Coturnix japonica: one gene and its partner. The protein of the gene in region 2 purifies or fractionates together with the protein of the main gene of each other region. This does not show direct contact. Links are inferred from orthologs where the notes say so. Each region holds a gene or a part of one and is shown on either strand. Other genes may lie near its edges. The genes, in order: CCNA2 and cyclin-dependent kinases regulatory subunit 1.

The links.
Region 1: the proteins of cyclin-dependent kinases regulatory subunit 1 (region 2) and CCNA2 purify together in Homo sapiens (affinity purification with western blotting; 7 studies listed by BioGRID and IntAct, counting the BioPlex papers as one, with this or other methods). This does not show direct contact. The link is inferred for Coturnix japonica from reciprocal best matches to the Homo sapiens genes CKS1B and CCNA2.

Annotation. Positions count from the first base shown.
Region 1 is NC_029519.1:48,272,043-48,276,438, reverse strand, and holds the start of CCNA2 (cyclin-A2), read right to left. Parts: upstream 2,967-4,396; 5' UTR 2,952-2,966; coding exon 2,817-2,951; intron 2,714-2,816; coding exon 2,497-2,713; intron 2,172-2,496; coding exon 2,059-2,171; intron 1,751-2,058; coding exon 1,527-1,750; intron 1,000-1,526; coding exon 795-999; intron 1-794. Other genes in the region: BBS7 (Bardet-Biedl syndrome 7 protein), read right to left, coding at 3,592-3,728, 4,245-4,368. UniProt on the Homo sapiens protein: Cyclin which controls both the G1/S and the G2/M transition phases of the cell cycle. Functions through the formation of specific serine/threonine protein kinase holoenzyme complexes with the cyclin-dependent protein kinases CDK1 or CDK2.
Region 2 is NC_029540.1:1,427,842-1,431,990, forward strand, and holds cyclin-dependent kinases regulatory subunit 1, read right to left. Parts: upstream 2,495-4,149; 5' UTR 2,433-2,494; coding exon 2,374-2,432; intron 1,317-2,373; coding exon 1,189-1,316; intron 947-1,188; coding exon 894-946; 3' UTR 633-893; downstream 1-632.

The DNA of each region.
Region 1 (4,396 bases), on a different chromosome or scaffold from region 2:
CTGCTGAGAAACTGGCCTCTGGATGTAGAGCTCAGCGCTTGTGGAGGGGAAAAATAAAAACCCTTCCTGCCCAAGTGAGAGGGCAGGTGCACGTGTCAATTTTAGACAGGAACACAGGGAATACCTAACAGGGAAACAAACCCCAAACTAAAATGCAGCAGTCTTGGCCTGCTTTGAGTAAGCATTCATGTGGAGCCAGGCCAAGTACCAGACTGTAACAGTAATGGAATGTCTCAAAGAGCAGCAATGACACTATTGCTTCCAGCAGTACAGATCTGCTTCTGGAGGAGCCAGAGGCACATCATGAGCACTTCTCAGATGTGTCCCAGAGAGATCACACACTTGAACATATTAGGAGGTGGAAAAGTCCACTCTAAAAAGCCCTTTACCACTGGTCTGTACAAATACAGCTGTAAGGTGGAATGATACAAAGATGGTAACATTCAAAAGGTTATTTATGAGGAAAAACTCACTGATATGGATGCCTTCACTGGGAAATGCTGAGGCAATCTCCACCAAGGAGCAATCTCCACCAAGGAGCAATCTCCAAGAGATGCTGCCCTAGTGATGGTCAGCCCTTAAATGAGGTCTAGAGAAGGTGGAGTCAAGCTCCATCCCTTCCTGGAGCACAGCTAAATTACTCTCACCTGTGCTCCCACAGCTGCCCCAACACTTGCCTCAGCTGATTAACCAGAGGTTCAGGCTGTGATTACCAATTTCCCATACAACAGCTCTTGTAAAATGCATTAACAACAGAACTCTACAGTTCCACAGACTGAGCTAGTAATCCTTACCATTGATAAGCTCTCAACTTTAGCGTTCGTCTGCTGGTGCAGGAAATACTGAGTGAGGAACTGGTTGATCGTTGGAGCTGCCAAATCAAATGACAAAACCTTCAAAATTAAGTGCTCCATCCTCAGAACTTGCTTCTTGTTGTAGGTGTCATCCGTGATGTAGACAAACTCTGCTACTTCAGGGGGGTAGATTTCCTCAAACTTCCTGCCATGAGAAACAGAAGCAAACAGTTAGGGACTAGAGAACCAGGCCACCAGCAACACTTCATTAAAACCAGTGTGCTGAACTGTGTGCTGACTTCCAAAGTAGCTGGATACAGTGACTGAGCAAGCTTGCTGCACTCAGGTTGATAGGTCTCAAATCACCTGAATTTGAAGTTAAAGAGTTTCAACAGCCTGTTATTTTGGGACTAAGTAATTTAGAACTTAAGAGTTACTGAAATTCCAGAAGAAAACTAAATAGCTTTTTCATACTCTTTCTTACTATTGCCTTAATTCCCTTGTGAAGCCTTTCACTCCTACATCTGGAAATCCTCCCATTAGGCCAATCTACAAAGACAACCTGGAATCTCACTTGCAAGGCTTCACATGGGCTGCCAAGCTTTTGTATATTTCAACCTATTACAAAGCCCTTACTAAACAATATGATTACAGGCTATCATATGAAAGCTACAAGACTTCCATCACTATGAAACCAGTAGGTGTTATTTTCCATCAAGAACTTTTACTTACGATGCGAGCAGCATAGCCGCAGTACCCACAAGCTGGAGCTTTCCTCTCAAAACAGACATTGAAGAAAGAAACCTGTCAATGTAATTTACAGCTAAGTGCAGAGTTTCATTCTGGAGCTTGTACTCTTCTCCAACTTCCACCAGCCAGTCCACCAGAATAGCTCGCATGTTGTTGGTGATGTCAGGCTGCTTCTTCATGTAGCCTATTTTAGGCTTGCATTTTACCTGTGGGTTCAGATGACAGACAAGACTGAGTTTGGATTGGGTGCCTGCAGGGAAGCAGTCACTCATACTCCCATTTACCATACCCAGACTGTTTTTAACAGGTCACAATAAGCAATGGTCAATCTGGACTCAGAAAGTTACATCTGCATCATGTGCTTTGTGGCTTGTGCTCAGTGCAGAGCGCAGCCAACCTCCCAGCAGGAAGCAGGGGGACTTACTCCTAGCTTTACTTCAGTCACTGTGGCAGTAACTTATCCTCAGATACACTCAGCCCAAATATGCGAGCAAGAGAACGGGTGGCATCTCACCTCCATTTCCCTAAGGTACTTGTGGATATCGCTGACATAGTCTGGCACATTGTTAACGTTTGGTCGCTCTTCTGCTTCTGAAGTTATGGAGATATCCATGATACTCGGGGAGTCTAGGAGAAAGGCCTCGTTAGAAGGGGCCCGGCAGAACCCCGTGCAGCAGGCGCGATGCTGTTGGCCGGCGGGAGGCCACGCAGGGGGGCCAAGCAGGCCCTGGGGAAGCCGAACCATGGCTCAAGGAGGAAGCGCCCCGCTGTCCCCACTAAGGAAGGGCCGGGAAGCCCTTTCCCGGCTGCCCAACACACTCCCCCCTTCCCTCCAGCCGAGCCCCGCGCTCCAGCCCCGTTCCTCAGCCTCAGGCCGCGTCCCGCCGCCGGCACCACATCGCGCGGGCCGGGCGCTCGCCCCGGGCGCGGAGGGGGCAGTGCCGCCGCTTACCGAGGCTGAGCTCCATGGCGTTGCCCAGGGGCGCCAGGGGCCGCCGCTCCCCCAAGGTCCCGAGGGCGGCCCGCAGCCCCGGCGCGTCCGCCGCCTCCTCATCCCGCTCCTTCTTCCTCTGAGGCCGCCGCGGCTCCTCGTCGGGCTCGTCCACGTAGACGCTGAAGGGCTGATGCCGCCCCGCCGCCGCGCCTCGGCCCTCTCCGTTCCGCGCCGCCTGCGGGAGCGCTCGGTCAGCGCCGTGACAGCCGCCCTGACAGCTGCACAACGCCCCAACATGGCGCCCGCCCGCCGCCCCCCGCCAAAGCCCCGCCGCTCACCTGCGCACCGAGCCCGAGCCCCGGCCGCGCCGGGCCGCCCCGCAGCAGCCCCAGCGCCACGCGGGTACCGGCGGCGGGCGGCGGGGCTTTGGCGGGCGGGGGGACGTTCTCCTGGTTCTCCTGCTCCGCCAGCATGGTGCCCGCCGGGGGGGGGGAGAAGCGGCCGAGGGGGAAAGGGCCGGGGGCGGCCGCGGAGCGCGGATGTGCGGGTGTGTGCGGGTGTGAGCCGGCGTCCCGCCGCCGCGCAGTCTCGCGGCCCGGAGCCGCTGCCGCCGTTCGAGCAGCCCGCGACTATTGAATCGCCCAATCAGCGGCCAGGCGTCACGCGGGCACCAGCCGCGCGGGGGGCGGGACCGGAGCGCCGCAACGCGCATGCGCAGCGCACACCGCGCGCCGCTTGGCCCCGCCCCGCCCGGTGACCGCGCAGGCGCAGCGCACCACACCACAGCTGGGATTAGAACTTTAATTAGCTTTAATTACAAACTCGCAGCTTCAGGTACAGGATCCTAAACGTACTTTACAAACATCGCTCTTACATTCCTACCCTCTGCATCGTCTCTAACTGTACTGAAAGTACAGGAAAAAGGCCGGTGGATACAGCTGTCTGTGTATATTCAGTGGAGGTGTGAAGATTGCTGTGTGCAGCACTCTATATATATGGAGTGTCCATTCTAATATATATATATATATGAACTCCAGTGCCTACTGCCCTCCCCTGGCAATAGGCAGCACACTCTGCACACACACACTGCACACACTGCCCGTCCTGTCCCGCTCAGGACGCGGCCTCAAAGAAGGCGAGCAGCCGGTCCTGCTCGCAGCCATCCAGCAGCTCCAGCAGCAGAGGAACTTTGCTCTTCACGTTGGTGCCTCGAAATTTAAACTTATCGATGAAGAGATCAGTGATCATACCTGCAAAAGTCAAATGTCTGTTGTCAGTACGACCAGCAACCAGCTTAATTTCCACGTGGTTATTTCTGCCTCACACGTGCCTGTCTCTGAATGGAGGAAGGAGCTGACCTCACAGAGCAGGCCCTGTATGTGAGGACAGGGAGCCCCTGAGCTGAAAGCTGAACAGGGAGCTCTACAGAAGGTTACAGACTTTCCTTCACTCAATTAGTTCCTCTCCTAAGATCCTCCCCTTCCACCCCATGTGCATTTGTCTATTATTTTGTAACACCTCAATGCTGGGAACTCCATCAGTCAGGTATACATACATTCTTAAGCTCCACCCCAACTCACAGCCCTCAGTCTTGCCAAAAAAGACAAGCTTAACGTACAGATGTAAAAAGCTACTGAGGTGTATCAGCCTATCAAATCATCTCAGCTCTACTAGTGCTGACCTCATAACTACTTCAGCAGCATCCAGGTTGCGCTCTCTGAGCGTTAATTTGCAGTTAGGACAAGAAGTTTAATTGATCAACAAACCGTAAAGTCTCTCGAGATGTGCAGGTTGTTTCTTGTATTCCTCCAGCAGCTGATCTGCCTCTTCCAAAATACTGCGGTATTCTGGCACCAAGAAGTCCGCGTTTCCTTCTTGAACTTGTAATTCCTCAAAGATATTTTACAACATAAAAATC
Region 2 (4,149 bases):
GGGGGGGGGTGGGAGGGGTCCATGGGGGGGGTGGGGGTTGGGGAGGGTCCATGGGGGGGGGTGGGGGGGTTGGGAGGCGGTCCGTGGGGGGGGGTGGGGGGGGTTGGGGAGGGTCCGTGGGGGGTGGTGGGGGGTTGGGGAGGGTCCGTGGGGGGGGTGGGAGGGTCCATGGGGGAGGTGGGGGGGTCCATGGGGGGAGGTGGGGGGTCCATGGGGGGGTGGGGTTGGAAGAGGTCAATGGGGGGGCTGGGGAGGGTGGGTTGGGAAGGTCCATGGGGGGGGCTGGGAGGGTCCGGGGGGGAGGGTCCATTGGGGGAGTGGGGGGTTGGGGAGGGTCCTATGGGGGGGGTGGGGTTGGGAAGGGCCCTTGGGGAGGCTGTTGGAGAGGGTCCATGGGGGAGGGGGGGTGGGGAGGGTCCATGGGGGGGGGGTTGGGGAGGGTCCATGGGGGGGGGTTGGGAAGGTCCATGGGGGGGGAGTTGGGGAGGGTCCATAGGGCGGTGGGTAACGGAGGGGGGGGGGGAGGGAATAGCACGCCCCCAAAACCACCCAGGGAAGGGCTGTTGCTATGCACCAGGAGCTCCTCCTGCCTCCCACCCCCCCTTAAAGGCAGAATTGCAGCACACAGCAGCTCCCAAATATCCTTTTATTGAAGCTTTTGAGAACCCCATCCCCGCAGCGCTGTGCCCTGGGGCTGAGCCGCTGCAGGTGCCCAGATAGCACTGAGTTCATGAGCATCAGGGGCACCCAGTGGCTCTGCCCCCGACAGGGAAGCTCCTGAGAGCAGAGTATGTAAGAGAAGAGGAAGAAGAGGAGGATGATGATGATGATGATGATGATGAAGGTGCTTTGTAGCCCAGGCAGCCGAGGGCTGTGGCTGACCCGGGGAGAGCTCACTTCTCTGGCTTCTTAGGCAGCGGCCGTCGGAAAAGGAGGATGTGTGGTTCTGTGGGGATATAGGATATAGAACAGATTCAAGCCAGGCTGTGGGTATGGAGCCCACGTCCCATAGGGCAGCCATATGGGGCTCATAGGGTAACCATAGGGGGCTCATAGGGCAGCCATATGGGGCTCATAGGGTAACCATAGGGGGCTCATAGGGCAGCCATAGGGGGCTCATAGGGCAGCCATATGGGGCTCATAGGGCGGCCATACGGGGGCTCATAGGGCGGCCATACGGGGGCTCACCTGGCTCGTGGATCATGTAGTGCACCCAGCCCTGGCTCTGCTGCACACCCAGGTTCCTCCACTCTGATTCGGACATCAGGTGGGTTTTGGGCACCAGCTTGGCGATGTCTTTGGGCAGCATCACGTGCCTGTGGTCACAGGGGTTGCTCAGCCAGGGGCAGTGACACAGTGCTCCGCCCACAGGCCCTGACCCAATGCTTACCCCCCACCCCCAATCAGGTCCAGGTCCAGGCCCAGGCCCGTTACCCACCCCCACCCCACACCCACCAGCCCAGACCCAGTGCCCAGCCCTCCCCCTTCGGGCCCAAACCCGGTGCCCCCCTCCTCTTCCCTCAGGCCCAAACCCCTGCCCATCCCCCTCCCCCTTCAGTCCTAGGCTCAGACCCGGTGCCCCCCCATCACGCCCAGACCTTGTCCCTGTCCCCCCACACTCCTCCCCCTTCGGGCTCAGACCCAGTGCAGCCCCCTCCCCATTCAGGAGCAAACCTTGTCCCCCTTCCCTCCCTCTTCAGGTCCAGACTCAGACCCGATGCCCCCCCCCCACGATCAAGCCTAGGCCCAAACCCGGAGCCCCCCCAGCCCGCATCAGGCCTAGGCCATTACCCCCAACCCCTTCAGGCCCAAACCCTATCTCCCCCCGTCAGACCCAAACCCGGTGCCCCCATCAGGCCCAAACCCGGAGCTCCCCTCCCTTCTTTCCCTCCCCCCCTCGGCTTAGACCCGGCGCCTCCCCTCCCCCTTCAGGTCTAGACCCAGTGCCCCCCCCCCCCCCCCCACATCAGGCCCAGGCCAAAACCTATTCCCCCCCCCCCACCATCAGGCCCCAGACCCGGAACCCCCCCCTCCCTCCCCTCCCTCCCCTTGCCCCCCCCTCCTTCAGGCCTAGACCTAGTGCCCCCCACCCCACTCAGGCCCAAACCCGGTGCCCCCCCATCAGGCCCAGGCCCATTACCCCCCCCCCACCTCAGGCCTAGGCCCAAACCCGGTGCCCCCCCCCCCATCAGGCCTAGACCCGGAGCCCCCCCTCCCTCTTCAGGCCTAGACCCAGCTCCCCCCCCCCCCCCCTCAGGCCTAGGCCCATTCCCCCCCCCCCCCTCAGGCCTAGGCCCAAACCCGGTGCCCCCCCCACCCAAACCCCCCCCCCCATCAAACAACAACCCCATTCCCCCCCCCCATCATCCTCACCGGTACTCGTATTGCTCGTCAAAGTACTTGTCGGAGTAGTAGATCTCCTTGTGAGCCATTGCCGCCCGTTCCCGGTCCGCCCCTTTCCCGGCAGCCCCCACCTCGCCCCCTCTCCTCAACCCCACGGCGGCCGTTGCTTCCCCCCTCCCCCACCTCCACTTCCGGTTCCCCTCAACGGTGCTTTCAAACGCCGCCGCCCCGCGCTCTCATTGGTCAGCTCCCAGAAGGCGGGCTTAACGATTCGCGCGCTGATTGGTTGATTGCTCTAAGAGACACGCCCTTTCACCAACCCCCCCCCATTCTCCTTTAGGGTTCTTGCGTCACGTGACGGGGGGCGTGGACCGGAAGTGAGTGGCGGCGTGGCGGGGGGAGGGGCGCTCGGTGCTGGGAGCTGAGGCCGCCGGGACCGGAGGAGACCGGCGTGAGACCCATGGTGCCCCGGTGAGCATGTGGGTCATCTTAGGTCGGGTGGGCCTCATATGGGGCTGTAATGAGGCCTGTAGGGCCTGTGGGAGCGGTCCGGGCCTTTAGGGGGTTCCCGGTGGTTCCGTAGGCCCCGGTTTGTGGGGGTAGGCCGCAACTTGAGGTCGTGTGGAGCTTCCGGTGTTGTTGGGTTGAACCCGAACATGGCGGGGGTTATGTGTTATGAGATGGGAAACGGCGCTTCCGGGATGTCCGGTCCCGGTATTACCGGGTGTATTACCGGGTATTACCGGGTATTACCGGGTATTACCGGGTATATTAACGGGTATTAACGGGTCACAGCGTTGCCGGTGCTTGTGGGGGAGCCGCTGATCGCCTCTATGCTGTTCGGGAGTCCCGGAGCTCCCAGTGTTGTTATAGGTGTGTGTGTCACCGCTGCCGGTAACCGGGGCTATTAGTAATGCTAATAGTAATTGGGGAGCTCATAACGGAGATGGACCGGCACCGAGTGGGGTAAAGAACCGGTTACCGTGGGTAAACACCGGCTTTGAGGCTTCAATGGATGTCTGTCAGATGGATGTCTGTCCGTCATGGGCTGTTCCTGGGTCTCTATGTCAATGGGTCCCATGGATCTCTATGTCAATGGATCTCCATGTCAATGGGTCCCAATGGATCTCCATGTCAATGGGTCCCATGGATCTCTATGTCAATAGATCCCATGGATCTCTATGTCAATGGATCCCATGGATCTCTGTGTCAATGGGTCACATGGATCTCTATGTGAATGGGTGTCCCATGGATCTCTATGTCAATGGGTCCCATGGATCTCCATGTCAATGGGTGTCCCATGGATCTCCGTGTCAATGGGTCCCATGGATCTCCGTGTCAATGGGTGCCATGGATCTCTATGTCAATGGGTGCCATGGATCTCTATGTCAGTGGGGTCCCATGGATCTCCATGTCAATGGGTGTCCCATGGATCTCCATGTCAATGGGTGCCATGGATCTCCGTGTCAATGGGTCCCATGGATCTCTGTGTCAATGGGTCCCATGGATCTCTGTGTCAATGGGTCCCCATGGATCTCCATGTCAGTGGGTCCCAATGGATCTCCATGTCAGTGGGTCCCATGGATCTCCATGTCAGTGGGTCCCATGGATCTCCATGTCAGTGGGTCCCATGGATCTCCGTGTCAATGGGTCCCATGGATCTCTGTGTCAATTGGTCCCATGGATCTCCGTGTCAATGGGTCCCATGGATCTCTGTGTCAATGGGTCCCCATAGATCTCCATGTCAATGGGTCCCCATGGATCTCCATATCAATGGGTTAGGCCCTGGAACAGGCTGCCCAGGGA